2 linked regions of the Astyanax mexicanus genome follow. The protein of the gene in region 1 binds, or shares a complex with, the protein of each later gene. Links are inferred from orthologs where the notes say so. Each region holds a gene or a part of one and is shown in the gene's direction. Other genes may lie near its edges.

Evidence for each region.
Region 2: prpf38a (region 1) and zmat2 share a complex: the UniProt entries of both Homo sapiens proteins name them as parts of the spliceosome B complex. The link is inferred for Astyanax mexicanus from reciprocal best matches to the Homo sapiens genes PRPF38A and ZMAT2.

Annotation. Positions count from the first base shown.
Region 1 is NC_064412.1:22,005,520-22,021,863, forward strand, and holds prpf38a (pre-mRNA-splicing factor 38A), read left to right. Parts: upstream 1-5,676; 5' UTR 5,677-5,733; coding exon 5,734-5,863; intron 5,864-6,926; coding exon 6,927-7,086; intron 7,087-7,537; coding exon 7,538-7,659; intron 7,660-7,778; coding exon 7,779-7,864; intron 7,865-7,978; coding exon 7,979-8,089; intron 8,090-8,187; coding exon 8,188-8,294; intron 8,295-8,592; coding exon 8,593-8,619; intron 8,620-8,772; coding exon 8,773-8,876; intron 8,877-9,020; coding exon 9,021-9,069; intron 9,070-9,189; coding exon 9,190-9,235; 3' UTR 9,236-9,512; downstream 9,513-16,344. Other genes in the region: pomgnt1 (protein O-linked-mannose beta-1,2-N-acetylglucosaminyltransferase 1), read left to right, coding at 12,324-12,443, 13,182-13,287, 13,440-13,555, 13,825-13,890, 14,439-14,552, 14,662-14,779, 14,919-15,017, 15,785-15,912 and 2 more. UniProt on the Homo sapiens protein: Involved in pre-mRNA splicing as a component of the spliceosome.
Region 2 is NC_064424.1:10,754,099-10,770,480, reverse strand, and holds zmat2 (zinc finger matrin-type protein 2), read left to right. Parts: upstream 1-8,447; 5' UTR 8,448-8,531; coding exon 8,532-8,549; intron 8,550-8,992; coding exon 8,993-9,083; intron 9,084-10,834; coding exon 10,835-10,958; intron 10,959-11,345; coding exon 11,346-11,419; intron 11,420-11,525; coding exon 11,526-11,671; intron 11,672-11,760; coding exon 11,761-11,904; 3' UTR 11,905-12,493; downstream 12,494-16,382. Other genes in the region: protein FAM53C, read right to left, coding at 303-309; slbp2 (stem-loop binding protein 2), read right to left, coding at 4,810-4,980, 5,058-5,199, 5,810-5,977, 6,086-6,232, 6,342-6,428, 6,541-6,615, 6,762-6,896, 6,995-7,041. UniProt on the Homo sapiens protein: Involved in pre-mRNA splicing as a component of the spliceosome.

The DNA of each region.
Region 1 (16,344 bases):
ATGGTTAGATAAATACTGGCTAAATTATTGCATGAATTACATTTTTAGGGGAAAAAAAAGCCTGGGGGTCCCTGTGGATATCAAATATAACTAAATGTATTAACATAATAGTTTTATGATTAGCCTGCATATTTAATAATAGATATTTTGCATAATATTACTCAAATAAAACTAATGAAAAAACACTGTTTTAGTAAGTTTACAAAAAACAATATAGCTAGTACAAATATAGACAGACAAATATTCTTCAGTTACACATTCTTGCACGTATTGTAGCTAGGCTACATATTTTGATTCATCAGCCACTTTACTCATGATTTTGGACGTAACCTAGACATGGCGAGTAACATTATATATACAACTAAGTATAAAAAAGCTCTGGTATGCTATTTAGTAATAAACATAAATCTGGTTTGTTGCCTAAGGGGAACACTATTCCATAGAGGGTAAAGCTAGCTAGGAACTATATGTATTATATTTCTATTATATTAAATATATATATTTTGACCATCATTTTGATCATCTAAAGCAGATCATTTTAGGGCAAGGAAGAAACCAAAACATGCAGGAGCTAACCTAACCTAGCAAGAATATCTGCATTGAAAAAAACATTCTTCAACGTTACTTTACATATGAAATATGTGCAAGAATATATTCAAGACCAACTTGACTCATTATTTTGAACGTCAGTTAACATAGCTAACCTAGATATGCCTTTATATTATATGCCTAGATATAACATTATATTATAAATTACGTAAACATATAAAAAACATAGAAAATAAGCTCTGGTAACGTTATGCTCTTTTGTAATAAACCACATAAGTTATTTGGTTTGGACACTTTGAGGGCAACACTATTCCACAGCGTGTAAAGATAGCTGGCTAACTTTAGCTAACTAGCTTAGCATACGTCTGTAGGTGTAGTTGCAGTCAGTATGTAAAGTTACAGCTGAAGACGACCCACTGAACCAATATCACTTACTTTTAGTAGAGCCTCTGCAATATATCAAGCTTCTTTAACCAATCCGACAGTGTGCTGTTATCCTTACTAGATGGGAAAGTGATATAACGTTAAAACTTTAAAACACTGATCCGTGCTCGCTCTGTCTCCCCCAACCCCCTGTTGCCTTCAGACACGACACACAACTTTTCCCGCGAAAGATGAGGACTATTTGCATACCGACATATCATTGGACCAGTGGAATGAATCCACGCCTACTGACCCGATGGCGTAGGCCGTGCGTGTCATAACTACATGCTGACTTGCTGTCCTACTGCCTAAACCTTCTCACTTAAAGCCGTAGAAAGCGGTGAATCTGTAACCGAAACAAAAAAGAAAAATAGCGCTTCCTGCCATACAATATATGATCGTTTATATGTGTTCTCATTAGCTGTTAACCTTAATGCTAAACAAAATAGAAGGCTAAATTACTAAACATCGATTCAGACAAGGATGGGTTCTTTCCTGCCTAACTAGGCAACATGTCATACGTTTCAGATACAACCCAGCGGATATTCTTTTTTTCTGCGGGGTCGACGTGTTTGGTCGTGAGTATCATAAACATCCACCTGTTTTTTTATATTTTAATATGGGTTAGACGAAGGTTTATTTAGTATTTTTGTGTTTATTTAAAGTTTCTACATCTGGAAAAAAGATGTATGAAAATGTATGAGCTCTCTCTCCTTTCAATATTAAATCTTTTTTTAGATGCAGATGATCTAAAATGTCAGTCTGGACATCTCTGATGCACATCAAAACAAAAATCGTGTTTACTTCCGACTGGTTATAGGCAAGAAAAGCAAGGTACCAGCCTGAGAGGGGCATTGTAACAGTAACTAAACTAAACTAAACTAAACTAAACTGAGTCTAGTACATCCTTGCAAATATATGTATCCAAGTGTCCTTTTGGGCATCTCCAAGTGCCATTTTGAGCATCTCCAACTGTCCTTTTGGGCATCTCCAAGTGCCATTTTGAGCATCTCCAACTGTCCTTTTGGGCATCTCCAAGTGTCTTTTTGGGCATCACCAAGTGTCACTTAGGGCATCTCCAAGTGTCCTTTTGAGCATCTCCAAGTGTTCTTTTGGGCATCTCCAAGTGCCATTTTGGGCATCTCCAAGTGTCCTTTTGGGCATCTCCAAGTGTCCTTTTGGGCATCTCCGAGTGTCCCTTTGGGCATCTCCAAGTGTCATTTTGAGCATCTTCAAATGTACCTTTGGGCATCTCCAAGTGCCATCTTGGGCATCTCCAAGTGTCCTTTTGGGCATCTCCAAGTGTCCTTTCGGGCATCTCTGAGTGTCCTCTTGAGCATCTTCAGGTGTCCCTTTGGTCATCTCCAAGTGTCCTTTTTGGTGTCTCCAAGTGCCGTTTTGGGCATCTACAGGTGTCCTTTTTGGCATCTCCAAGTGTCCCCTTGAGCATCTCCAAGTGTCTTTTTGATCATCTCCAAGTGCCATTTTGGGCATCTCCAAGTGTCCTTTTGGGTATCTCCAAGTGTGCCTTTGGGCATCTCCAAGTGTCCTTTTGGGCATCTCCAAGTGTCCTTTTGGGCATCTCCAAGTGTCCTTTCGGGCATCTCTGAGTGTCATTTTGGGCATCTACAGGTGTCATTTTGGGCATCTCCAAGTGTCCCATTGAGCATCTCCAAGTGTCTTTTTGGGCATCTCCAAGTGTCCTTTTGGGCATCTCCAAGTGTCCCTTTGGACATCTCCAAGTGTCCTTTTGGACGTCTCCAAGTGTCATTTTGGGTATCTCCAAATGTCCCTTTGACCATCTCCAAGTGTGCCTTTGAGTATCTCCAAGTGTCCTTTTGGGTATCTCCAAGTACCATTTTGGGAATCTTCAAGTGTCATTTTGGGCATCTTCAAGTGTCATTTTGGCCATCTCCAGGTCTCCCTTTGGGCATCTCCAAGTGTCCTTTTGGGCATCTCCAGGTGTCCCTTTGGGCATCTGCAAGTGTCATTTTTGGCATCTCCAATTATCATTTTGGGCATCTCCAAGTGTCCCTTTGGGCATCTCCAAGTGTCCTTTTGGGTGTCTCCAAGTGTCCTTTTGGGTATCTCCAAGTGCCATTTTGAGCATCTCCAAGTGCCATTTTGAGCATCTCCAAATGTCCCTTTGGGCATCTCCAAGTGTGCCTTTGGGCATCTCCAAGTGTCCTTTCGGGCATCTCTGAGTGTCCTTTTGGGCATCTTCAGGTGTCCCTTTGGTCATCTCCAAGTGTCCTTTTCGGTATCTCCAAGTGTCATTTTGGGCATCTACAGGTGTCCTTTTGGGCATCTCCAAGTGTCCCATTGAGCATCTCCAAGTGTCTTTTTGGGCATCTCCAAGTGTCCCTTTGGGCATCTCCAAGTGTCCCTTTGGACATCTCCAAGTGTCCTTTTGGATGTCTCCAAGTGCCATTTTGGACATCTCCAAGTGCCATTTTGGGCATCTCCAAGTGTCATTTTGGGCATCTCCAAATGTCCCTTTGGCCATCTCCAAGTGTGCCTTTGAGTATCTCCAAGTGTCCTTTTGGGTATCTCCAAGTACCATTTTGGGAATCTTCAAATGTCATTTTGAGCATCTCCAAGTGTCCCTTTGGGCATCTTCAAGTGTCATTTTGGCCATCTCCAGGTCTCCCTTTGGGCATCTCCAAGTGTCCTTTTGGGCATCTCCAGGTGTCCCTTTGGGCATCTGCAAGTGTCATTTTTGGCATCTCCAATTATCATTTTGGGCATCTCCAAGTGTCCCTTTGGGCATCTCCAAGTGTCCTTTTGGGTGTCTCCAAGTGTCCTTTTGGGTATCTCCAAGTGCCATTTTGGGGATCTCCAAGTGTCCCATTGAGCATCTCCAAGTGTCTTTTTGGGCATCTCCAAGTGTTCCTTTGGGCATCTCCAAGTGTCCCTTTGGACATCTCCAAGTGTCCTTTTGGATGTCTCCAAGTGTCATTTTGGGCATCTCCAAATGTCCCTTTGGCCATCTCCAAGTGTGCCTTTGAGTATCTCCAAGTGTCCTTTTGGGTATCTCCAAGTGCCATTTTGGGAATCTCCAGGTGTCCCTTTGGGCATCTTCAAGTGTCCTTTTGGGCAGCTCCAAGTGCCATTTTGGGCTTCTCAAAATGTCCCTTTGGGCATCTCCAAGGGTCCTTTTGGGTATCTTCAAGTGCTCCAAGATCCAAGATCTCCAAGATGATGCAACATTATAGCACAGGAGTTTGGTTGTAGCTACTTTTTTTATCACTTTGTTTACGTGCTTAAATCCCTCGTTTCCAAAACTCTAAAAACAATATATAACTTTTAATACCTGAACCTGAAAGTAGTTATTGCATTATTTCATTTTTATTTTACTATAAATGGACCAATATAAATGTTTTTTTTACAATGAATTTTATTAAAGATTAAGAAGGGAGTTTCTCCCTATGTAAAGTCACTGTTTTGTACGTTTTTTGTTTTGACAGTGATTATGGATAGAAATAATTAACTAAAATAGTTTGTCTATAAATACAATGTAATTTATATAAAACTGATACATCGTAGCATTTAAAAAGCTTATGTAAGACTCTCCACATTAGCAGTTCTGCTTGTTACTGGGGAAGCATGTAGCAACACATTACAACACAAAGAGATGCGCAAAAACATACCAGACACGTAAATGTGCCCGCCGTGCGTAAAAGTGTCCGCCGTGCGTAAAAACGCATCCCGGGCGTAAAAGCGCGCGCCGTGCGTAAACGCGCATTCCGTGCGTAAAAACGCATCGCGTGCGTAAAAACGCATCCCGTGCGTAAAAGTGCGCGCCTATCCCGTGCGTAGAAACGCATCCCGTGCGTAAAAGTACATTTTGTGTATAAAAATTAGCGCTGTGGGCAAACACCCAGGGGAGTGCTCACACTAAAATCCCAACATCTATAAGGAAAACAAACCTGACAACTTCTCAGGTGTCGATTATTAATTTATATATGTATATTATTTATGTTAATCTAATTAATGGATCTGTGCTGTTTAAGGTATTGTAAGAACATTTGAGAATATTTCACTAACACTGCTAAAGAACTCCTGCGCTAGATATTTTTAAAGGGTTTATTTACAAATTCAAAGTTTTTCTAAGACTGACTTGTCCATATGGAATCATATATGGTTATTTTACAGCATCAAACCTATATGTCATAGCATGCTATATATTTCTGCACTTTACAAGGGGACTTTTTCAGATCACATCTGAATTGGGAAATTAACATAACAAATTTCATGAATAAAGCAGACGTGAAATCGACGTATCTGTGACCTAGCAAATTAACATGCCAAATTTCCTGCGTAAAACAGATTATTCAACGACGTATGTGGGGTGCGATCGGTCTCTGGAGCATATCATATTAATAAAACCAATTTATAATCAATTCAAATGAGGTTGATGCATTTAAGATGTTCAGACCTTTACAAAAAGGTCTTAGTATGTATGCTTTCAGGGTAGTTACTGAGGTAGAGGATATATAGTACTTATCATACACAGTTAACAGCAAATATTGAGACCATTTTAGTCATTTGAAACACAATCTGTTAGCGTGTGAAGAGAAAGAAAGAAACTAAAGTAATTCCCTCATTTAACATCCACATTTAGCCGTGGGTTTACTCCACACTCCGTGCTGTAGGTGTCAGTACTCCCCACTATCAGTCCAGCAGCAGGGCGCTTTAGAGGAAGTTCAGTGGGTTGTGTTCCGGCGTGAGCGCGTTTCATTCATCAGTTCTCTGGTGGAAATGGCGAACAGAACAGTGAAAGATGCGAACAGTATACACGGAACTAACCCCCAGTACCTGGTGGAGAAAATTATCCGCACTCGAATCTACGAGTCCAAATACTGGAAGGAAGAGTGTTTCGGTCTCACAGGTGAGGAGAAAACAGCGTTAGTTAGCCGGTCTGGTGTTGTGCTAGTTAGCTGTGTAGCCAGCTAGGTTAGCTTAGCTTCCTAAGCTGTGTTTAGGGTTATCTACCTGCAGCTCGCTACTGTATTAATTATCTGTTCTCTTGGGTAGATTTGGCAGTGAACCTTAATTAACTAACGTTAAACCCTGGACATCTTTCTTTTGTATTCATAAATGCGCGCACTAACGCAAGAAAGCTGACATGCTAATAACATATAGCTAGCGTTAGCCATGTTAGCTAAATTAGCTCTATGTATCTCACTAGTACTTTGAGCTATTTTGCTAATTAGGTTTACTAGGTTAGCATTTTAAGTAACTTAAAGCATTAGTTAGATACATAGGGAGCTAGTTTAGTTAACGCTAGCAATCCAGCTCTGAAAAAAACAAGAGACCGCTTAAAAACGACGAGTTTCTTTAATTTTACCAAACTGAAAACCTCTGAAATATAATCAAGAGAAAGATGGATGATCACAAGCCATCAAACCAAGCTGAACTGCTTAAAGTTTTGCACCAGGAGGCTTAAAGTTATCCAAAAGCAGTGTGTACGACTGGTGGAGGAGAACATGCGAAGATTCTTGAAGATGTTTGAAAGCTCTGCATCTTTTTATTTCAGCCATTTCTCATTTTCTGCAAATAAATGCTCTAAATGACAATATTTTTATTTGAAATTTGGGAGATGGTGTCTATAGCTTATAAAATAAAAAACAATGTTCATTTTACTCAAACATATACCTATACATAGCTAAATCAGAGAAACTGATTCAGAAACTGAAGTGGTCTCTTAATTCTTTTCAGAGCTGTAAATGATAAGCCAGTATGTTGCTAGCTAGCTAACCTGCATAATGTAATTTTTAATGGATATTAGACATGCTACATATCTGTTCTATTTTGGATGTAGGTATTGTTAAATTGTTGACGTTTAGAGCATCAGTAGTTTATTATTTTATGTATATTGAGCTTTGAATTTGTTCTGACTCTGGACTCTAATCTTTTTGTTCCTCATGGTCACTGAATATATCAACTTTAAGCTGAGCTTGTTGTGGACAAAGCAATGGAACTGAAGTTTGTCGGAGGAGTGTATGGCGGAAACATCAAACCCACACCTTTCTTATGTCTGACGCTGAAGATGCTCCAGATTCAGCCTGAGAAGGACATCATTGTAGAATTCATCAAGAACGAAGATTTTAAGTATGCATATCTCACCTATATTTATATTTTATCTATCACTGACCTGTCTCCTGAGTTTTTTCCTTATGTGTTAGGTTGTTCCTAGTATTATTTGAGCTTCCTGGTTTTTGCACATAAAGAATATCTTTACAATTTCTTTATTGGAAACTGTAATGACTTCACAAGCGGTCCTACCAGACTTTTTATGTTTTAAAACTAATTTCAGCATTTGGTTGGCTGAGTGGGGTGTGTTACATTTAGGTAAAAATGAATAGAAGAAAATAAAACAGACACATGTGATTAAATTAATGCCCATCATGCACAAATGCATTTGGTTTAAGCAGAATGTTTATTGTTTAAACTATTGGGTTTTGTGTCTATTAGGAAATAAATACAGCTACTATCATTAGAAAACAGAATATCATAGTCTATGCATGCAAGTGCTGAATGTAATTTTTAATGTTTTGTTCAGATATGTCCGCTTGCTTGGAGCAACGTATATGCGCCTGACTGGCACCTCAGTGGACTGTTATAAGTATTTGGAACCGTTGTACAATGACTACAGAAAAATCAAAACACAGAACCGAAATGGAGGTAAGCAGCACATTGAAACTAATACCGCATTGGTTCATAAATGAGAGTAACTATATATAGTAATTCCTTGTAAACCAAGAAAACCTTCTAACGTACTTTATCTTACTCTGTCTTCCCAGAGTTTGAGATAATGCATGTGGACGAGTTTATAGACGAGCTGCTTCATGCCGAGCGAGTGTGTGATGTCATCCTCCCTAGGCTCCAGGTTTGTTTTCTTTTTGTATATAATTTAGAATATTGTTATATGTGAGCAATTATGCAAATTTGGGTTTAAATCTGTTACCCTTTGTTGTACTGAAATTGAGTTCATCTTTTATAGAAGAGGCAAGTCCTGGAGGAAGCTGAGCTTTTAGATCCGCGTATCAGTGCCCTTGAAGAAGACCTGGATGAGGTGGAGTCCAGTGAAGAAGAAGACGAAGAAGAGGAGAAGGTATTACTCTAACAATACTTATCACAATAATATTATTAACAGAGGGGCAAAAAAAAGTTTGGTAATTTTTTTGACTTCAATTTTTTTTTAATTTATAGCCGGAAAGAGTACAGACACCAGAGCCACACAGACGGAGTTACAGAGATATGGATAGACCTCGCAGATCTCCCTCTCCTCGCTACAGACGAAGCCGATCGCCCAGAAGGTTGGTGTTAAGTGAAGATTAAGAAAGTGCCAGCAAACTAGCTAAATAAGCATCCCTAAAAGAGTAACCCCCCCTGAAATGATCAACATGCTGTGTTATGTTAATGGATATAAAGGAATACATGGTTATACTGGAATTATTTCAATCTGATGGTGTATTTATTGAATGCTTTTGAAAGGTGTGTGTGTGTGTTGAGTGGCTGCCACTAGTCTATATGAAAATTGAAGTGCTACCATACAATTTATTATTGTTCTTTTCTTTTTCTTTTTTTTTTCCCTTTTTTTAAACCCTGAAACAGACGAAGCAGATCCCCCAAGAGACGAAGGTACACATACAGTGCAAATCTGTCTTTCTCATTCTTACTTCTGCATGCATGTTAATCATCTGAACTAAACTATAGCAAACCACAGAACATTATACATCATTCATTCTTTTAATACTGAGATTTAAGTGATTGTTATTCTGTTCGTGTTTGCAGCCCATCACCCAGACGTGAGCGAGAACGGGATCGCCACCGCAGCAAGAGTCCCCGCAGACACCGCAGTCGGTCCAGAGACAGGAGGCACCGCTCCAAATCTCCAGGTACAACACATCAGCTCATATTTATGCTCTTATTAGCTGCTTGTAAGTTTTCAGTTGTGAACCTGATTCAGGTTATTTTAAAGTAAGGAAATAATATTAATCTTTTTATTATTTAATAAATTATGTCTGCTTGGTTTAATTTAGGTCATCACAGAAGCCACAGACATCGCAGTCATTCAAAGTCTCCAGAAAGGTAATTGAATTCTATTAGAAATAATTCTGTAAATGTATTCCTGATCAATATAGATATGAAAATAGATTGTATTTGTTTATTCGTCAAGTCCTTATGTTTGAATGTTTGTCTCTTTAACAGCCGCTCAAAGAAGAGTCACAAGAGGAGTCGAAGAGGAAACGAGTGATTTTTCTACATTTTTTTGTAGATTTTTTTTTATGTAATGCTTGTATGGTAATGTGTATATAAAAAAAAATATGATGTGAATCTTTTTCTCAACTGATTGGAGTCACACAAGTTTTTTGATGCTGTTTATTCTTTTAAGTCATTTTGAGTGGAAATATTTTTCATCCCATCAATTGTAGTTCATTATTAAAGTGTTTCAGCAGCCCTCTTGTAATAAACAGTTTATCTACGTGTAAATTATGAAAAGATTTTACTCAAATAAACTGTTGTTACAGTGACGGTACATGTCCATTTTTTTGTAAATAAAATCAAGTGCTAAATACTGTGCAAATAAGGCTCAAATGGGTCAGTCTGTGAGGTATTAGCCTGACCACGTGACTGGGGTCTCCTTTTTTGCATCATGATAAATACATTTTAACAACACATTTACCATGAAGTAATTTGACTAAAAATTGCAGCCCAAGTTATTTTGATAACATCTGTTTTATTGTGAAATGCATCACTTTTGAGGAATGTTTTCTTAATGATCGTGATTGGAACATAATCCCTTACTTCATTTGTAAAATGTGATGAGTTTTGGAATTTGTACCTTGTAGATCAGAGTTTTACAAACTTGAGAAAGGTAAAATTTGGAAAGTTTTAAAAAGTGGGTCACTAAAGATCATTAGCATGATTTGTCAGAAGTGGCTAACACAATACAATCATTTTATGATTTGAAGGCAACTACTTGGCTAATGTAAAGCTTTAAACCATATACTGCCTTTGTCAGAGCAATACTTTAATGGTAATAAATGTATTCATGAATATTGTCCGTGTTAAGGGGTTGTATTTTATGTTCACACAGGATGTTAAACATGCTTGCTAACATCTCTAAAGAGCACCAGAGAAGAAGGGTTGAGCTTTTTTGCTAAGTGGCAAATCTTAAAATATCAGCCACACAATTTGTCACATGCTAACGAGACAGCACAAGTGTTGCTGTTTGTTGTGCCATCTATTTTAATATGGTCCAACAGACATTATAAGATGTGCAATCTGCTTTAATATGTACAGGTTTGAGTGCTGGGTGAAATGTTATTTGGTATGTTGGCTGTTTTAAGTGCAGACACTCGGCACAAAGGGATCCAACTCATTCTATAAATGCACCTGGAAGACTTCTAGGAAAATAAAGTTTGACCAAGTATATAAATAAAACATTTAAAACTATAAATCTCGATGGTTTCCATATTTAGTTAAATCTATGGCCTCCTCCGTGAAATAGAGGTTCTGATTGGTTCTGCCAGCAAATAACTGAGCAATGTAATCTTCTGGTGTTGGTCCACTGTGTTATATCAAGTCTGAAGTCAGTGCAGTGTTTTTCTGGTAAATCTTACAGAACTTTATTCTTCCAACCTTTCTGAAGATGCAGATTTCATTTTCCAGCAGGATTTGGCCCACTACCCACACTGCCAAAAGTACCAATTAGTCTTATATAATACTCTAATTTTCTGCAGCAATGATCTTGACTGTAAGAAACGCTTAGAATAGATCGCTCTGTGTGTAATACATATGAGTTTCACATTTTTAAGGGAATTACTGAAATAAAGTAACTTTTCAAAGATATTTCTTTTTTTTCAGATGCACTAGTATAGACAAAATACGCATAATCTTTATTTTATAGATTTTGGGGGGTCGATTTTGTTTGCCATATACATGAATTTTACGAGGTATTGTTGTGTTACTTACTTTCTTTTTTTCTTTATTTATTAATTGATTGGGTTTAGATATTTTGCAAAACTGCTGCTAAGAATAAGATAAAGGTCTCATGCCTAAACAATGTTTTTAATATTTTATCTACCAGTTGATCAATGACTCATGTCTGTCAAAGTACTTTATATACAGCTCTCGAAAAAATTAAGACACCACTTCAGTTTCTATGTCAGCTTCTCTGATGTTGCTATTTATAGGTATATATTTGAGTAAAATGAACATTGTTATTTTATTTCATAAACTACAGACAGAATTGTCCACAAATTCCAAATAAAATATTGTCATTCAGAGCATTTATTTGCGGAAAATGAGAAATGGCTGAAATAACTAAAAGATTCAGAGCTTTTAGATGTCAAATAATGCAAGGAAAACAAGTTCATATTTTAACGTTTTAAGAGTTAAGAAATAAACATTTGGCGAAATAACCCTGTTTTTTATTCACAGTTTGTATGCATCTTGGCATGTGCTCCTCCACCAGTCTTACACACTGCTTTTGAATAACTTTGCCACTCTTGGTGCAAAAAATTCAAGCAGTTCTGCTTGGTTTTTATGGATGTGATCATGCAACTTCATCTTGATTATATTGCAGAGGTTTTCAATTTGGTAAAATCAAAGAAACTCATCATTTTTAAGTGGCCTCTTTATTTTTTCAGAGCTGTATTATCTTTTTGTGGTAAGACTTTTATTTTGAAAAATAGCTCATGCGGCAGCCATTAGTAATGGCACAGTTGGTGCCTTCACTCTGATGGACAGAGTCTTCACATGCAGAGAACCGGCTAAACACTGCTAACCTTTAGCGGAACAATGTAAAATAACTCTGTAAATATGGGGGGCATCGACACATAAACACCAGTAACGGTAAGTTGGTTTATTCTGCCGTGAATATCGCGTTTTTACACCTTAAACACAGCCATAAATAAGAGCATGCTGAGTTACTGGAGGGAGGGAGGCTGTTTGGCTGGGTTAGCTGAGAGCTGAGTGAACAGTAAACAGTGTCCTATAGCTCAGCAGGTAATATAACATGTGCTGCAGGTGAGCGTGTTTAACTTTACCTGTGTGTGTGTGTGTGTGTGTTATCTACGTTTGCAATTTTATTTAAATTGACAAGTATTGTCTGGGGTGTGGACAGGAAAATGTAAATGACTGGTGTAAAGTAAAGTTACATGAAAAAGCTGTACACTGTAATAAGACACCTTCTTTCCATTACTAATAAACCCTGCCTCTAAATTATCTCCAGTCCTTTAGTTCACATGTACTGCACAGTCTCTGGTCTCCACATCTAAATGACTTCAGTGCTTTATGTCTTTTTGATTGTGTGTACAGGCAGGCAGCAGTTGTAAGGGATGGACACCTGGACGCCCAACCCACGGGCCAAGCCCTTCATCCCTAGACAGCAGCGTAGTTTCTACCTAACATGGAAATACAAACTTTCCAACAAAAGAGCCATCCGAAGACTCTGCCAGGCGAGTATACACATTTTAGACAGACTCTAAAAAAATCATAGATAGGACAGTTGACCATTCATGGGATTACTGAAGAAACACACAACATTGGGACAGCTTTTGAGCTTAAGATCGTTTATTTTAAATTAATTGCAGGGGTGTTCCTCAGTTGAAAGGGGTCAAAATATTCTGTTATGCATGTCCTAAAATAGTGAAATATGATATAATTCTACATGATAATTAATGTTAAAAGATCAGTATTTATTGTAATACGAAAAAGGTATTTGACTAATGGCAGCAAACTTCACTGGATTGTGTTGTTTGAGGTAGTGAAATAAAGTTGTCATGTGACTTCTTTAATTCCATTTTTTGGCATATTTTGCACAAGACTGTACTCTTTAAAGTATCATCCTTCCAAAGGCCAAAATCTTTCCACACAAACTACCCATGCACATTATTTTTTGGCATTGCACATACAGATATTAACTTGCACAGTGGCTGAGATAGTACATTATAGTAATTTTTACAATATACAGTATGTTGCCTAGCACTGCTATGTAATAAGTGAAACATAAATGGCTTGTTGTCTGAATGTACAGTGTGAACACATTTTTAACTGCTAATGTTACCTTCTGGGTTTTTGTCTTATTTGAGCTCTGTAAGGTAACATAAAGCCATTGATTATGCTTAGCCTTATTGAGTCCAGGGCAGCAGAATATATTATGATGTATGATTTTTTTTGTTTGTTTGTTTTCACAGGCTGGTGCAGTGTTGTTCTTGTTGGTTACAGTACTTGTGAACATAAAACTTATACTTGACACAAGGAGAGCTGCTAGTGAGGACGAAGATGCTGCACGAGACTATGGTAAGATACTAGTGACCAGTAGTGGCAGGTTCTACTGGTCTTTTAGGGTCAGTTAGAGCTTGTTTTCCCCTAACATGCGTTTCATGTGCAAAACAAATAAAATTCAAATCACCAAGAAGACTTATAATATGTTCTGTTTCTCTGTGTCTAAGATGATAACTTGGCCAACATGGAGACCCCACGAAGACCAGCCAGTGGGCGCAAGGTGTTAGACATTGAAGTCTACTCCAGTCGCTCCAAGGTGTATGTGGCAGTTGATGGTACCACAGTGAGTGATACACAGTATTTGAATCCCCTCTGCAGTCATTTTATACCCCCTCCTCTAAACAAGTCTCATGTTGTTTTAATGTGTGTCAATTTGTTCAAGTTACAACTGAAATGTCAAATTTTGCATCATTAGTCAACAGATTGATTGTCGTAAATCACTTTGGTAGTCTTTTAAGGGTCACATCTAGTGATTTAATGTCTCTATGTTTTTGTATTGAACTGGTGTACTGTGTAAAAGTAATTCATTTATGTTTTATTTGTTTTCTGTAGGTATTGGAGGATGAGATGCGGGAGCAGGGAAGAGGCATACATGTCATAGTGCTAAATCAGGCCACTGTAAGTAGAGCTGTGAAGTCTAGAGATTTATATGGCAAATAAATGTCAAACATCTGTGTGCAAAATTATTGTTTTTATACAAGTGCTCTGCACATGTCTGATACAAATGAAAACATATGTTAAAAAATAAAAGGAGCAGCAAGTGATATGTGGAAAAAATACAGCTTACACTATAACCAAAACAAATTAGTCAAATGAGTATTCCATGTACCTATTTGTGTTCCAAACTACACACTCTTTATTGTTTATAATATAATAGAAATGCATGTAAAGTATTCATGTGTTCAGTTTAGTTGTGTTTTCTTAAAAAAAAAAAAAAATGATCCTTTTTTGCAGAAAAAAAATCTTTACATATTTCTGCATCACCACTGGTATTGAGACATATTGACACAGTTTATCCTCTAGACTTCAGTTAAATGACTTTAGTAAATTACAATTTCCTTTGCATCATCAAATTGTTAGAACGTTTGTCAGTGGAGTTTTAGCTAGTGTTCTAAAAATCTGTTTAAAGAGATTTTATGCTATGACATTCTGTCTTGTTTAAACAGGGTCACGTAATGGCGAAGAGAGTATTTGACACCTACTCTCCGCATGAGGATGAAGCCATGATCCTCTTCCTCAACATGGTCACTCGTGGTAGAGTCCTCATTTTCACCATCAAGGTTAAATCACAATCTCTTACTTCAGCACTTTTTAATGTAACGTACACAAATGTAACAATGTCTATTTTACTGACGTTTTGTTGCTGTGTTTATATGTTGTGCTGCTCAGGATGAGGGAACCTTTCATCTGAAGGATGCTGCCAAGAATCTGTTAAAGGGGCTGGGCAGCCAGGTGGCAGCAACTCTCAGTTGGAGGGACATGTGGGCACTGGTTGTGAAGAAAGGAGGTCAGAGTCTTGAATTACTTGATTCTGTTTGTAAGGAGTTAGAATGCCAGATAACATGTACAAATATTTTTTATATTTTTATTTAACAAATAAATGTTAAATGTGTATTTTTTTTTTTTATTGATGTGCGTGTGTCTAGGCCAGGTATATGGGGAGAAGCACTCAAAGTCACCTGCACTCTCTACATGGGGAGATCCTGTACTGCTGAAAACTGAGGTTCAGCTCACTGCTGCTGAAGGTAGAGAATTTCCTGAAGAAACTAATGGTTTTATTTATTGTCTGGTGCTGCTTATTGTGCCTGTAATTTTTGTCACTGTCATGCCAAAACATTGAATCTGACATTTTATAACTTTTCAACATATGCTGACATGCCAAATGTCACAGGACAAGAATAGTATCATGTGCCACGACTTTTGCCATGTCCAATTAAAGCCAAAGTCTCCCTTGTCAGTTTACATAAACAATTCTAGCCAGATGCCACCAATCATGATCATTACCACGCACTGTACTGTCCACTACGGATGGTAATGCCTTTCATTAAGTGTTCTTGGTACACATGTAACACTGGATCAACTTATAAAATGTAAATTAAAAAAAAAATCTAAAACAAATCTTATCTCCCACTAAGCTATCCTTTCTCTGAGGTAACATCCATGACTTTTGACATATCACTTAAATTCTATAAAGTCTTAAAAAATGCATGATTACAGGACCAATAAAAATCCTCCAAAATAATGTAATATAATAATTTTACATTTGACTGTCATTTAAAGTTAGTAAGGTTTTTTTCTCTCCTATCAAGTTACTGTTTTTGAAATTTCTTTTCATTTGCACGACAGTGAAGATTTTTTAATGAAAAGATAAAAAAAATAAGTTCCTGGTTAGTTCACGATGTGATAATTAGAACATTGGCGCTACAACAGCTGGTTAAACATAACTAATAAGACAATGCTCAGCTCTCTAGAGTTTTATTCAAGCAGAACATTTCTGTTGGTCGTTGTGCAGAAGCAGAGTGCCACTGGGCTGAGACGGAGTTGAACCGTAGGAGGAAGCTGTTTTGCAGTAAAGTGGAAGGCTACGGTAGCATCTGCAGCTGCAAGGATCCAGCACCCATAGAGTTCAACCCAGAACCAGTAAGTTTAAATACAAGTACCGGAACTTTCACAATATATAATATGAGTAATGTGTTTATTAATTTTAAATATGTGAAAAGCAACTATTCTGTTTGCTTCTGTCATTTAAAAATATTCAGATGTTAAAATAGAGCATGGGATAAAGTCAACACCTAATTAGCAATCAAGTTTTGATCTGTATTATAATTACCTTTTGTATATTGTCTTTTGTCTAGCTTCCCAACAATAATGTCTACAATGTTCCAGTTGCTGTCATTGCTGGAAACAGACCCAACTATCTCTACAGGTGAGAAAATGTTTGTCTCATTCCCCCGTTGTTGGTGTAAAAAGGCTGATCAAGAAGTAGCACTCTCTGTATGTGTGTCTGCAGAATGCTGCGCTCACTCCTGTCCTCTCATGGTGTGAACCCACAGATGATCACTGTTTTCATTG
Region 2 (16,382 bases), on another chromosome or scaffold:
CACATAATATTTGTTAATACTCTTGACTTGGAGGAGGATCTGAAATTCCAAAGGGTTAAAATACATTTTTCCCCTTATATTATACATACATTATACATTATATTTTTTTCTGTCTCTCACAGTTGAAGTGTTCCTATGATAAGAATGACTACTCCATTCTTTGTAGGTTTGGATTTTCCTAAACTGTATGTATGTATAATATGACATTGATTTTACTGGACTACTGAAAGTTTTTTATTAATATTTTGCTACAGTCTTCAAATCTTGCTTCTAGACACATAATTGGATACCTGAATACTTACCAGGCATCAATCCATCTGAACTGTGGGCCAGCAGTTTTCAGAGAGGCTGTGAGGATCATGCAGTGGCTGAAAGAGAGACATTGCAGAGACATGAGTGAACAGGATTGGTTTGAATGAATTCTGTGTACTTTTGGATTAAAGAAATCAAAAAACAGTAAATACTAAACCAAGCTTTACCAGAGCGATGTCCAGTGGCTGAGGTTAACGTCAAGACTAGGGATCGGCTCAACATCTAGCATAACCATGGCTTGGCAGGCGGGAAGGTCTAAAGTGAAGCAGTCAACCAGCCGAGGGAATTACAGGTAGCACAGGCTCCCCAGGCAGAGCAGCTCTGGCCAACATGATGACTTCATTACCTGAGGAGGACACAATAGAAAGAAACGTCTTGGTTAGCGTTTTAAAGGCATTTGGCTTATGCACAATTCTTATCCTTAGGCTTATTTATATCATTAATTTACATAGAACATGAGCAAACCATCAGCCTGCATATCTAGATACAGGACTCCTGCTGCTTATAAGGGACAGTTATAAAACAGTAGTGAAGATAAGTGTATATAAAAAAAAATACAATAATAATATTAAAAATAAATAAATAAAAAGTGACATCAAAAGTAAAATAGCATCCTGCATGACATTTATCTTGTATGGCATGAACACCAGGCTCTCTACAGACATTTAGTTTAAAAAAATCTGGCTTTAAAACATTATTTACTACCCCAGGCTTTAGTAGCTAGCCAGCTACATCTGTTAGCCAGGTTATGTGTTTTTTTTTTTTTTAAGAGTATGGGGCAAACCTGTGTTCTGGTTTTAGTTAGCTAAATGGCAAAAGAGCAGCAGCCAAATTCTTATATATTATATATGCAAATGACTAGACATAGCTAAAAAGCTAAGAATTCCTACTGGAAAATAACATTATGCGTTAGTTAAGCTGCTAAATAGTAGCAGACCACAAATCCAACCAAGTCCCTCTGGCCGTCCAGTGTTTTGTCGATTTGTGCTACCTCGTTAAATATATAAATATAGAAAAAGCTACCTAAATAAAACAGCAGGCAGGATATCTGACTGGCCTACAGCAGTAAAGATAAGGAAAGATAAATATAAACCAAGTGAGGTATTTTGTATTTTTATTTATTTATTTTTACTTGAAATGCCATTTACACTTTCGTAACATTAAAGCAAATAATAACCGTACAACAATAAACTCAGATTATATAATGCGCCCGCGGAAAACACAATCAGTATATATAAAAAAAAACGTTAACATTTAAGTGCCGTTGTTCAGCGCATGCGCAGAGACGCTGCGTAGCACAAATTGACGGGTAACACAAATCGACAGAACACCGGCCGGTGTTCTGTCGATTTGTGCCCCCCCCCCCTCCTTCATATTTTTAATGTTTTCACGTGTTTTTCATGTGAATTCCTTTTTTTCTCGTCGGCATTTAACAATTGCAGCTTACTAATATTATTGGCTCAAGTGTTACAAACGTAGAAATGACGATTAAAAAATACAAAAACACAATTTAACTATCATATCAATTAGCGTAAGCTCCCCTGATATAGCGTTAGGTTAGGTTGGCTAGTGAATTGGGCCACCCAAAAATCCTAATGATAAGATAACGTTATCTAGGAGCATTTTTGATATTCTGATACGATGCTTTCGCCATATAAGCCAGATAATACAAATAACTAACCAGGTTAGCGTTTTTTAGAACTTAAGCTTTAAAATAGCTAGCTAGTTAGATAAAAAATATATAACAACAGTAATTAATTAACTAGCACGTTTTAACGGGATGGCACAAAACGACGGAACACCAAGCTAGTCGCTCGGTCCGTCACAGAGCACACAACTGAAGCTAGCTAAATAGCTAACGCTAGCTACCGTAGATTCTTAATGAGTGTCTGCGTATGAGGATAAATATAGCTAGCGTTAGCTAACGTTAACGATACATAGCTAGCTAGCTTATCAAAATAGACAACACTAATTATCAAGCTAGTTAGGTTAGCTATACTGTGTCTATTTAGTTAGCTAGCTAGCTAGCTACCCTAGGTTTACTGACGATGGATGAACTGGTGTTCCTCAAAATAGCATCATATCAATGGAAGGCTATCCAGCTAGCCGAGAAAGACATCCTAGCCATAACCTAGCCCGTGATGAGCATTATTAGCTAACGTTATGTTGGCTGGGTGCTTGGCTACCTAGAAAGCAGCACAGGCCCACTAACGCCTGCAACCCTAGCTAAATCAGGACATACAGCGACGGCTTGGATAGACTAGCGTAGCTTAGCTTAACCAGTTGAGGCCAATAATGCAAAGCAATACATTTTACAATGCAAAAACACCGTGCACGATAAATAAATATCTAACTTATCTACCACACGATCGATTATCTTAATAGGGCTGATTGAACAGCCTGGCGTGTGTAATTCTGATAATAATTGATTGATATTTTAGCCACACAATAACACACATACATATACATATACAGCTGAAGACATGGAGGACATTTAACGATTCTGACTTACCTCGCCGCCGACGGAGACCAGCACAGCCGTCTCACACACAGGGCCCGTGGAGCCTAGCTGTTAGCTAACTAGCTAACCTAGCAAGTTGCTAGCCAGCTAACGTTGGTCTACCATTGCCTAGCTGCACAAGATCAAACAATTCAGACCAACAACTAGCTACGCTAGCCAGCTAGCTAGCGAACTAGCGGGCTACCCGTCCAGGGTACCCATGGCGTAACGTTAGCTATTGTCAATCCCCGTTCTCTACACCTAACACCAGCATACCGTTAAATCAACGTTGAAGACCCGCCGCACGCCGACGCGAACCACCCCCGCGAGCGGAGTGTGAGGAGCGATCTAACACAACACGAATATCTGCTATAAATTCGACATTTCACCGCCTTCCCATCGTCTCCCACTAGGAAAATAAGAACGCCCGTAGAAATCCAGTGGCTTCCATCTGCAGAGCCTCCAGCCCCCCCGCCCCCGCCGAAACACACCATGCAGACCCCCGTCCACGCCCTCTAGTGTTCCTCTATCAGGTAGCAGCAGCAGCACCACCACCACAGACAGTACACTGATAACAAGCAAGAGAGAGAACATTGATTTAACGTTAAAATATATTTTTTTTCGTTGCATTACATTAGCTTTTTGATGGGAAAAGACAACCTTTAAACAATCTTTTATTTAACACAGCCTAATTTTCATTGGTTAGTGTTTAACCCCTTAACATGCCTACAGGCTTCATTTATAAGTGTAATAAATAAATCTTATTATCTGCAGATTTAAAAATAGATGTACAAACTAGACAACCATAATGAAACTAAAGGTTTGAAGGACAAACTGTTCGATTTGCATTTTTAGTAAAATATTGAATTTAAAATAAAGTTCAGGAAAGAGACAACTTTATGATTTTATTTATTATATTTTGACATTAGCAGATTTACTTAAATATTTTCAATTACAATTATGTTTTTCAATAATGTTCCTTATCAAACATAAACGTTTTTCATGTGACGCTTGAATAGAAATCCTCAATATTTAGTGTTGTAATGTCAGGCAGACAATTGGCAAAAATCCTGGCCTGTGAAGGGGTTAAACTGTAACATTGATGACATTTTTATTGATTTATATTTAAATGTTTGACAGTGGTTGGGGCTTTGAATCTACACTGCAAAAACACAGTCCAGTGGGAAATAAATGCCATTAAGGACAAAAGCTTAGGCCGTGCCACAGGGTCCTATATTAACACACTTTTCTAAAAAAAATAATGGCTATATATGTTATGTTAAAATGTTAATTTTGATACATTTAGGATGCACCAGGGTCCCTGTTTCAGCCGTATATATGCCCATTGAAAATTAATTTTAGTACAATGTAAATAGATTAAAAGGGAAAAAAAGGGCTTGTAGAAAGTGCTAAATAAAGTTAATTTGACTATCGTCTGTCAAACTGAAAACACTGAAGGACACTACTGCTAGTTTTTCACCTTTTAAACTTTTGTGTACCAATGGTTGCTCCCCCACCCCTTGGCCCTCTTGACTTTATGAATTACCAAGGCAAACATTTAACATATCTTTATTGGTTTTGCTTTCCACTACTTTTAAAGTCATACAAAAATACTCAAATTTCAAAACAAGGCTAACAATCTTCCCCCAAACAACCTGACTACAGTGAAACAGGGAGACGAGGAAAACTCACAAAATCAAAACAGCAAAAAAAGTGCCTTTAGGAAAAGAAGTGTCTATACTAGTGAGGGAATATCCAGTGAAGGAACAAAACACGAGCAAGTAGTGAAAAAAAGAAAAGTGCAAATTTTAGTGGTTTCAACAGTTAAGTGATCTGAATTACAGGGGTTTTGATGCAAAACTACCATCAGCGTGCTCAGTGTTCAACATTAAGATCCAAGTACATGTTTGATCATATCTTAGACGCCATTCCTGGGTCATTATTTATTCCTGGAAAACAAGCTTTACACATGGTCTACACAAGACATCATGGTACAATCAGTAAAATCGCCAAAGTGGCTGTTCACTCTCCGGGGCAACTTCGCTGCGTGCATGGTCAGTCTCCAAGAGAAATCGCAGCCATCCAAGGACATTCTCCTCAGCAGTTAGATGACTATTAAAGGAATAGCCCAGTCCAGAAGTCTGGCTTTGCTGGCCTGTTAAATCAGCCTGTAGGTAAATAAGAACATGCATCAGGACACCCTATTCATACAAACACAATAAATCAACTTTTCTGTTCTACTTACTTGAGGAGCAAGAGGCTTCCAGAAGCCATTGCCTAAGCCTTCAGTAGGTTGAGAAAGTACAGAAGCACTTGAGTCAGATACATCCAACGTCCTTTCCTTTTCTTCTCCCAGCTCAGTATTCATTTTCTCAAGCAGGTCCTGCCTAAGAGAATTAGCATGCAACAGGTTAACCTTAAAACTCCTTAAAAAGGTCTTATGCTGTATTCCATTTGAACCAAAGAAGAATTAGCTAGATCCAATTAGGAAATGTTCACAGATCAGATTTATTTATTAGAAGTGTTCAGAGAACCCCACTAACCAAGAATTCATAATCCAAGATGGCTGCAATGCAAGTCAAGAGTAATAAAAGCGTCGTATTAAATAGTTTATCACCAAGTCTATACATTAGCGTCTCATAAAATCAGTTGCTGTACTGTCCGTATTCCATCTATCTACAGACATGATTTCATGGTACTCAAATTAAATACTGCACAATGCCAACCTGGGACAATGTTAATGATAAATCAAACCAGTTGCAGTAAACTCCAAAGGCTATAGCTGACTTTTTTTTTTTTTTTTTTTTAAATAGTGAAACATTATCTAAAATATTTTATGGCATACTGGAATGCTCCAATCTGGTGTCAAGTAATTCTCAATTCAAACAGCTGAGGTAAATGGAACACAGCACAAGTCTTCAAACATAAGACTACATCTGCAGAATGTTTATGATCTAAATTTAACATCACACAATACAATACCAGTCCTACACATACAGTTGATCAACTGGGTCTTGTCCTTCATTGTTCCCTTGGGAAGTCAAAGGTGGGTCCCAAGCATGTAGCGCTCTCCGCCAAAGCCTGACTTGCATGTCCCAAGACCGTCGGCTGTACTTGCGGTATTTGTTTGGAGTGGAAGGGTGAAACCCAGGGATGCGAAGGCGCCTAAAAGTTATAGCACAGAGAAAAAAAAAGCTAGTAATAAGTAAAAAAACAAGCCTAATTATCTTAAGGCTAGTAAAAAGGTATGTAGGTCTGTAGGTCTGTTCTTACTTTGGAACGTGCTTCAGATAGTTCTGGTAGCCACAGGTGTTCTTTCCATACTGAATTTGCTTCTGTCTGCGCTTCAAAACCGACTCGTTGGTCTCAAAATGAGATGGGTCCATATTTTGAGTACACCATCGGAGTCTTGACGGTGACCTAAGAAGGTTTGTTAGCTTTGATAACCACAGAGAAATCCACATCCTAGAACAGGCTTCACAATATTAGTCACCCTAACAAATTGCACATTTCAAAGTCTGCACCTGACCTCTTGATATCATCTAGATCCTCTGTCCCAACAGCCACATTAGCTGTAGATATCTTGAGAATGCACCTCTCAAGAATAGAGGATCTACTTAGAGTTGTAAAGAGGGAAAAAAAAAATAAAAATTAGCACTGAGGCCATGCATAATCAAGACATAATTCACAATATTCTTAATTATAGAGCTGATAAATAAAGTCAAGACCTGCGAGGCTTGGACATGATGGAGGAGGTGGTATTCCTTTCTTCACTTACAGAGGACGGCCTTGGGGTTCTAGAGCTATTCAAATGCACAGCAATACAGAAAAACAAACAGATTTTATAATTAACCACAAAATACAAAGCATTACAATGTCCGTTCAAAACAAAAGTGCTTGGTGCTCATTTGTTCTTTAAAACAAACGGCTTAAATCTTTACCTTCTTACCTGACCAGGCTGTCATACACCGAGCTGCAACCTGGGAGAAGCCATGGCTCTGGACTGCCTGGCTCAAGAGGTGGTCTGACCCTCAAATCATGAGGTAACTCTGGAATGTTTGGCCACAAGGGAAGAGACAGGCCCCTAAAATTAAATTAAACAAAAGGAAACCAGATTAAGATTAAATCCCAAAGTGTTCTACACTCAGCAACAACACACAGAAGTAAGTAAGTCTACTGGACCTTGACTCCAAAGGGCTATGAAGTGCAGTTTCAATCCGTGCTGTCATGCTGACTCTGCCACCTAGTATGCCGCATAGTTTGAAAGACCTTTAAATCAGCATCAGGTGGATAAGGGGCGGGGCTACACAATTAACCCACGTGTTACGTAGCCGGTCAAATTGACCCCTTTTAAAGTAAAGTTAAAAAAAAAAAAAAATACAGGCACAAGCACGGTGTTTGGATCATATACAATATTGACTAGAGCCCACAAAAGGAAAAATAAATTAAAGTAAACACTTTTTTTTTTCATCAAAATAGAGGCACAATATAGTTGTACTAAAAAAGTTAATTATAATAAATTAACCATATTTTACTTGAAAACCAAAATTCCAAATTTGATTACACTAAATATTGTTCACATTAAATAGGTAATATGTTAAAAGCCAATGTTTCTTGGAAAAACGCACTGGCTCAATCTGGGTTAATATTACTAACATAACAGTATTAAAGACAGCATAGCCAGCAGAAGCTCTGAAAATTAATATCTGTTAATGTTTAACTTAATATACACATGAAGGATTATACATATTATACATATCATCAAGTAGTCGTCTGTACTAATTGTAATAATTGATCACAAACAAATGTTGTTGTATTCACGTTTTGTTTTTCTAAACAATATTTTATCCAATTATGTATTCCACTTACATTGTTTTATCATGCTATTGTGAAGTCAAAAGAAACTGCTCCTTTAAGTAGCAGTGTTTAGTAGTATCTTGTATTCCCATTATAATAACCTGAACTGAATTTGTATTGGTGCATTTTTTTGTAAGGATGTTGTTTATTTTAAATAGATAAACGGTGCACAAAATAGTAACACATATCCATAACTTAAATGGAAATCGTATTTGATAATTACTGACATATTTAAAGAATATAATTTTTTGAAATGACAATATTGAAAATAGGCATGTTTATTTGTATGTTTGTTCACATATATAGCATTGAACTGTATTTAAGGCTCCATACACACAGTGTGGACTGCAGTAGGTGAAGAAAAAAATAATTTATTTCCCAAACTATTATTAATTGCAATCATAGTCTTACAAGGCTATAAAAGTGTTGCTTTTATCCTTTATCACAATCATTTCTTGGATGGTATATTGTCCACAAAAAATGTCAATGCCTATGAAAAAAACTAACATTTTTTTTACATTTTATTTTATGTTGTATATATTGTGTTCTTTTTGCATACTAATTGGAAACATGCAGCCACGTTTTTCATTCTCCTGTACATCTGTACTTATTTGATTTGTATGTTCTTTCTGAATGGGTGGGTGTTTGCCTGTTACTTGTTTATAGTATTCTTATTTATTTTATTGTATTTATTTATTTTACCTTTTTCAGCAAACCGTGTGTGAGAAGTTGTGTAGATTGAAATAAATGAGACAAATTAACACAGAACTCACCTTCACTTTAATCACACAGTTCCCACAGAGCTTTTATTTTGCCTTGTTGTTTTTCTCCAGACAGGAAGAAGATCTCGTTGGTCAGCAACATGGCGTCAGGCAGTGGGGTGAGTTATATTGTTTTTTTTTTTTTATTAGTTATATTAATGTCTGCAAGGTTATATCTGTTTTAATGTATTCAGTAAATGCTGTAATTGATAGACTGTAACATAGCCGGCTGAATAAACTATAAACTACAACGTTACCGTGCTAAAACACGCTCCTGTGGCCATTAGCTTAGGTAGCTAGCTAGCTAAGCTAACTAAACATTTGTCAGTGTTCAGTGAAAATTTAATGATTTATCCAACAACAGTTATAGATCTGTAATGCTGTTAAAGGAGCTGCTGACAATAACTGAATATCTAAACCATATATGTTGTAGGCGTTATATAGCTGGCATGTTAGACAACAGGTTATTGTCACGGTGTTTTATTGTTTATGGATACCCAGCTAGCCGTGGCTACCCTAACTAATTAGCGAATAATCTCCAAATCTCTTTTTTTTTTTGTAGTCTAAGAACGATTTTAGGCGCAAGTGGGACAAAGATGAGTATGAACAGCTGGCACAGAAGCGTCTCACGGAGGAAAGAGAGAAAAAAGATGGTGAGTACATTCATATAGTTTATATAGTGCACTACTGTACTGTACTATATTCACACTTTCACTGCCTATTGTTTGGAAATCCTGATATGACATGGTATATATATATATATATATATATATATATATATATATATATATATATATATATATATATATATACCATATTTTCTTTACATAAAAAATGGTGAGCACTAGGAAGTATGTTCACTGGTCTGTGCATGGCTTCACAGACTGCTACATTGCGCTGTGCTGTGTTACTTGGTGTGTGGTGAGCACTAGATACTAAGTGGTAAGCACCAGATAGTATGTTCACTGGTCTGTACAGGTCTGCACATTGCGCTTTGCTGTTCCACTTAGCCACTTTACCAAAAGTGGGGACGATAAAAAAGTGTCTACCTTCTATCGTCTCTATCGTTTCTACAGTAATTTCATCAATTATTCATGCAAATATATAAAGTAGGCTACGATGAAATGTATTAGCGTGGTCACTTTGCATAAACTCTGTTTATATAAGTGATAAAGTAATCTTCACAAAAAAGCTTCATAATGTGGTTTTGTGACACAACGCTGCTTTACGTTATTTGACGGAAATGCACAGACACCGGTTTGCGACATGCTTTACGTTTTTAAACTCATGAGAGCTGAACAATGGAGACGCATTGTTCTTTTTAAAGAATTAGCTACTGCATCTACCTCATCTGTTTTCATTCGATACATATATATTGCTGCAATAAAAGGTAGGAATTCTCGTTTGTGAAAGTTTGTTTTAATGTCACTTTGAAATAAAGTTTTTTCGAAGAATAACTGAAAACATACTTAAATGTAGTATATCATAATATATATCGTTATTGTGATATAAAAAAATTCATATTGTGATAATGATTTTTCCCATATCGCCCAGCACTACTTGTACAGTTACTTACATTGTTCTCTCACTGGACTTGCTGTTTTTATTCTGGAATGCCAATTACGCATACTTCATATGTGTAGACACTAACCCTACTTGCCACCTTGTTTATCTCATATCTTATAATGTACCTTATAAAACCAAAGAGATGCTGTGTTTTAGCTAGCCCACAGGTTTCTAAATAAAATATTAAAATTAAATTGAAATCCTCTCTGTTTAACCTTAGAACCTGTCTAGTTTACTTTGCAGTAGTGATGGCAAAAGTGGGTCTTTTGGGAGTTTGAATGAAATTAACCGATTGATTCGGGGAAAAAAAGATTCAGCCTTGTGAGTCCTGGGGGATAAATATGCCAGTAGAAGATTCATCACTACTTAAATATGCCTTTCCTAACTGTAAATTTCATTACAGAGAGTGTAAAAAATCCTTTAAATTATGTTATGTGCAGCAACAATTATAATAATTAATGTAGGTCTAAAGTAATTTTCTATGTATTAAGGAGTATTTGAGTAGAATTTTTTAAGAATTTACCACTCCTGGTGCTTTTTACCCATGAGTCAATACATGATGAATACTGTATATCATAGGATTGTCTTTCAATACAGATATAACAATTTGCCATGTCACCCAGGTCTCTCAGTGCATGATTATGTACACCAACGCTGGTGGCTTTTATACTGTTCATATCAATATCGTAATTATATCATACCAAAATTAAGAATTTTGCTCTTGTTTTATTGTATTAAATCTGATGCACAGATTTATAATTATATAAATAATTATTTGCCAGTATTGTTATGATTCTGTTATTGTGCATCACAAAACTCTATGAACGTTTTTTTACAGGCAAACCTATGCCACCAGTCAAGCGGGAGCTCCTCAGGCACAGAGACTACAAGGTTGATCTGGAGTCTAAACTGGGGAAGACAATTGTCATCACTAAAACTACACCTCAGGCTGAGATGGGCGGGTGAGTATCTAATGCAATTCCCGCGATTCCAACTGAATGTGAATAAGACTACTTTTAAAGAATTTGCATTAAACATCCAGAATCAGTCAATTTTTACTAAGAGAGAAAAAATGGAAAGTGCTGGCCTTTATTCCTTAGGAAGAATAAGGTAAATTTGGTAACATTTAACTATATTGCATAAACAGAACTGTCCCAAATCGACAATTTAAACAATAATTCTACATTATATATGACATGGTGAGGGACTGTCAGGAGATGCTGCTGCTGCTGATGTTGCCATTATATCTTTATTTTTTGTTCATTTTGTAGAATTTAGTTTTCTGGAAGCAAATATATTTTAAACAGAAATATTTGGTCTTATTGGTGTTTTCATACTTTTTTATGTAGATACTACTGCAATGTTTGCGATTGTGTTGTGAAAGATTCCATCAACTTTTTGGATCATATCAATGGCAAGAAACGTGAGTTTCTTTTTATTTCTTTGATTTGCTGTTTCAGAAAAATGTAAAAATAAAAATTGTATATATTATATAAAAACATTTTTCTCACTTTGTCTCACTAATATAGACCAGAGAAACCTTGGAATGTCGATGCGAGTGGAACGGTCCTCATTGGATCAGGTTAAAAAACGCTTTGAAGTAAATAAGAAAAAAATGGAGGAAAAACAGAAGGAGTATGATTTTGAGGAAAGATTGAAGGAATTACGAGAAGAGGTACAGAATTTGATTTATAAACATGTTTTGCTTTGCCTACAATAAATGTATTTTGTACATTTGGTTAATATTTTGATTTATTTATTCAGGAGGAAAAAGCAAAGGCATATAAAAAAGAGAAGCTAAAAGAAAAGAAGAGAAAAGCAGAGGAAGACCTGAATTTTGAAGAGGATGATGAAATGGCTGCTGTAATGGGATTCTCAGGGTTTGGGTCCTCCAAGAAGAGCCACTGATTCCCACCTTATACATATCCTTGCTTAAGCCTTTACAGTTCTTACAGAGTGGAGAACTATTCAACTATCAACAGACTGGAAGAACCCTTCCTTGACTGGACTACATTGGGTTTTTTTTATGTCAACTATCACAAATTCCATGAGCAAAGACGAAAACAACAATTAATCAAAATGTTTTCCACCTGTTACTTGTTTTATTACAGATTCATATTTGGAATTAAAATACGGGTGGAGCAGTTTGAGTTGAATGTTGTTAGTTTGATGCTTGTTGTAAATATGATTTTTTTTAAATTCCTCTCACTTGTCCAATTTATTCTGTAGATTTTGAAATATAAGGAAGGGTAAAGGAATGTGGTGTTACAAAAATTAGTGTTTTCATTGACACAAACTTGTCTTTCAGATCTGCAAGAGATGATTGAGGGTGTAGTTGCATCAGAAATACCCAAGCATAGAATAAAGGCAAGTTTTGTGTCAGGGCTGTATTGTGTTTTTTTTTGTTGTTTTTTTTATCCAACTCAAACATGTTCTTGCAAATAAACTGTATTATATTATTTTAAAAGAAATGTGCTTTAATTAAATTTTAAACAGCCTTGTTTCATTTAATTAACATTTCACACAAGCATTTACATTTTCAGGGCCTTTTTATAAATAGTAGTGACTGTCCATCCACGAAAATAGTTTAACTGTTAAAGATCTGCAGTATATTAACGTTATTTTTTTTTTTATGCCAAGAATATACCAATAAGAAAAAAGAAGCTTGTCAGAGCCGAAATGAGCCATCAGTCAGGCCAAGACACATTCTACAACCAAAACACCTCTGAGTACAATCTAAACACCAGTAATAATTGCAGTGCAACAAACAAATGAGCATATTCTGTCATTTGTTTACCAAACTTAAGTGTAATTTGATAAATTCTTATCTGGATTTAATCAAGATACTAAGCACATTAAGAGGTTTCAACAGGTCATACAGTTCAATTGTTTTAGCTATTGCTATTTTTATAGCTATTTTAGCATTGCAGTTTCATTCCAGAACTTAAGATGTCTAAACAAACCTCTCTTAATGATCTTTCTCAGAACTGTTCATTTCATTGTGGCTCTAAAACTATTAAATTTAATTAAATTACATTTACCTAATATAAATTAGCTTTGGCTGAGTGGTTAAGGAGTTATTGTTGATCACTTATTCAGTGACAGGCTGGAATTTTTACCTGCAGTAACAAGCCAACACTGATAAGTAATACACTTTAATAAATGTTTTGACTATTTATCATAGTTATATGACTAATGAAAAATTATATTTTTCCAGCTTAATCACTTTTTATTTTCATTATATAGTTGCATGCATTTTTCCACCCCATCATGACAGGATGGAGAGGTTATGGTTTAATTAAGCTAATAAAAAAATAAAACTCATATTATTAATTGTTGAACGTGCAGCAGGAGTCTTCAGTCCCTTAAAAACGGAAACAGTACAACCGTACTTTCTTAAAGTGGTGTGGTTGTTCCAAGATGACAGGGCATTGTTGAAAATGTTTAAATGCTTGATTTTCTTTTTACAAAAAAAGCTGTTTTCATTATTTAAATGTCTAAATTATTAAAAATCTTAATGAGTTATTCAACTTAATCAGGCAGCACTGTGGACATGGCAAAACCTCACCCCACATTAAATAAATCTGTATAAAATGTTTAAAATTTAACTTTAAAGTAAAAATTAACATTTTAGGGGACTTGTAATGTGTTAATTCAGAGTAAATCAGATGAAAACACTGTAATGCTTTCTTAATGATGATTTTTTTTTTATCATAACACTCTTATCACCATGTGATGGCGCTATTGTTTACCTATATGGTTCTGAAGACAACTGGTAAACCACAGGACTGTGCTTATTTAGATACAATTCATTCAGTGCCCTTAAGTTAAATTCCTGATCTGAACACATGAATCTAAACCCAGCATTTCTTTTGAAACTATAAAAGACACTGTAAGCAACTGTAACTGTAAACAACTGTATGACTCTGACAGTTGACCTTTTCTTTCTGATCTAGTTTAAGTACACCCACCTACAATACCAGTATACATTCAGCATCGACTGGAGTTCACAGGAAGTGGAAATTGTTATAGCGAATGACATAGAAAGTTAAAAGTTTTTGGGACGTGCAAATTTCAGATTGCATTGCTGGGAATAAACATAAATAAAGCCAAATAGTGAGACACTTCAAGTGTCATAAGTTTCCACTAGCAATCGTGGGGCCTGGGGGAAAAAAAAATGAAAGCTCAGACTTTCCAAGTGTGGGTGCTTTTTGGTTTGGCCTACTTTGATTACCACCTGACTTACTTACTTTTTAATGAGCTAATAATAGCTGTGGTTTTGTATAGACACCAACTACCTGCTCAAAAAAAAAACAACACTTGAATGCTCTAATACAGTGTGTCCAAATGTTTGTAGACACCCCTTCTACAGGGTTCGTGCGGGTGCTTGAAATCCTGGAAAATGCTTGGATTTTAACAGTCTGTTTTCCAGGCCTGGAAAGTGTTGAAATTTTAGAGAAAGTGCTTGAAAATGCTTGAAATTCTGACTACATTTACTATACAATAAATAATTATCTGACTAAATAAGTTTGCTTAAAGAAAAAATTGCAGAACGTAAAAGGAAAAAGGCTTTAATTTCTTCTCCTTCTGATATTACCAAACAATTCTGTTTGCATTTACGTAAACATAATACACTGCATCTCTTGCAGTGTGACAAAAAGCAAATCAATAATTTTGAGTATATGTATGTATAAATGGTCTCAACTCATCCCAGAATTTGATATACTACAGTAACTGCTCAATCAAATGAAAAGGGTAACATGCGGTGAAAAACATTGATAGTTACATTGTGTAAAACTGCCATTAATAAATCCATAATTTTTGCTATTTACTTACCTAGAACTATTTTTTTCCTCAGTGGCATAGTGTGGAGAATAGATTTGCTTTTGCAATGTATTGATTATCGCTGAATCACAGTGTTGAGATATCACCGTCATCATTAATTTACCACAGCTGAAAGGTGCAGGAAAAACTTGAAAATGGGCCTTGAAAGTTCTTAAAAAGTGCTTTAATTTTAGCTTGTAAAAGGTGTTTAAACTCTGCTTCTAGTAAAATGAATTCAGCTGCACCCATTGTTGACACTGTGGTGCAAATGCGTGCACACAGCTTGTCCAGTCCCTGTAGCCTATAGACAATACAATAGTACTCTGTGGAGCCGGTACACATTAACCTATTTGTATCATGCCTTATGTCAGAAAGGAGTATAAAAGTCTCACATGCATTGCCCTGTTGAGTGGTGGAATTGTGTTCTCTGTAATAATAATGCTCCATTCATACATTGATTAGTGGAGGAGGTTTTGGTGATCATCCAAGCCTCCTGTCCTCTGTAGTGTTTGTGTTGCTGAATGCTCTAAAATCTAGTAGAAAGCCTTCCCAGTAGAGTAGACAGTTTCTCCAATAAAAGCAGCAAAGGCTTTAAAAGTACTGACATTCATTACTCAAGTAGAAGTATAGATATTGGGGTTTAAAAATACTTCTGTAGAAGCTGAAGTATCAACTTAAGCTTTAAAGTGTAAAAGTATACAAGTTAATGTAAGGGAACAAAATGCTAAAATAAGGGGGGGAAATAAGGATAAAAGCTTAGACCATGCCACAGGATCCTACAGTGCAATAAAATAGGTGTGAAAAAAATACTCTAGTAAAGTATAGATAACCAACATTTCTACTTAAGTAAGCTAAGCAAGTATTTATATTTGTTGTATTTACTTGACACATTTAAAAAAGTATCCCTGTTGTTATTATTATTATTATTATTAAAACAGGACAATAAAATCTATTTTGCTAAGAACAAATGAAATGTGATGTATGAGAGCAGAGTCTATATTTATCTGCAGTTATTTAAAATTGATATTTAGATGTTTAATTCAATAGAATGGCTTGTTCTAAATATAACAAAGTAAAGCCACATTTTAGGCATGCTGCACCAAATCAGAAAAAAAATAAAGGTATGATTACAAGGACGTTTTGCAGGATATGGCAATAAACCGTCCGCTAATTGCTAAGCTAGCCTACTGTTTAAGCTACCAAATAAAGCATTTAAACCTTATCTCTTTTTACACTTTAATAATAAATAATTCTTACATTAATAGTTAAAAAACTATTTTTGCTATCACTAGTTTTTCTGTGCTACAACCAGCCAGTTATTACAAAACAAATTAAAAAAACAATTAATGGACTGGCTAGCTACATTTTTCATTAGCATCTTTAGTTAGCATCGCATGAAAATCTGTTTTACAACATGAAAATGTTTAAGAACCTTAATAAGTTTATCTATTTTAAAGTAATATGTTTAGCTAGCCATCACAGTTTGTAGTGTTGTAATTGAGAGGTGCTTGTCAGCTCCCCTAGCCAGAATATAACCCATTTATTATATCTGACAGTGATGT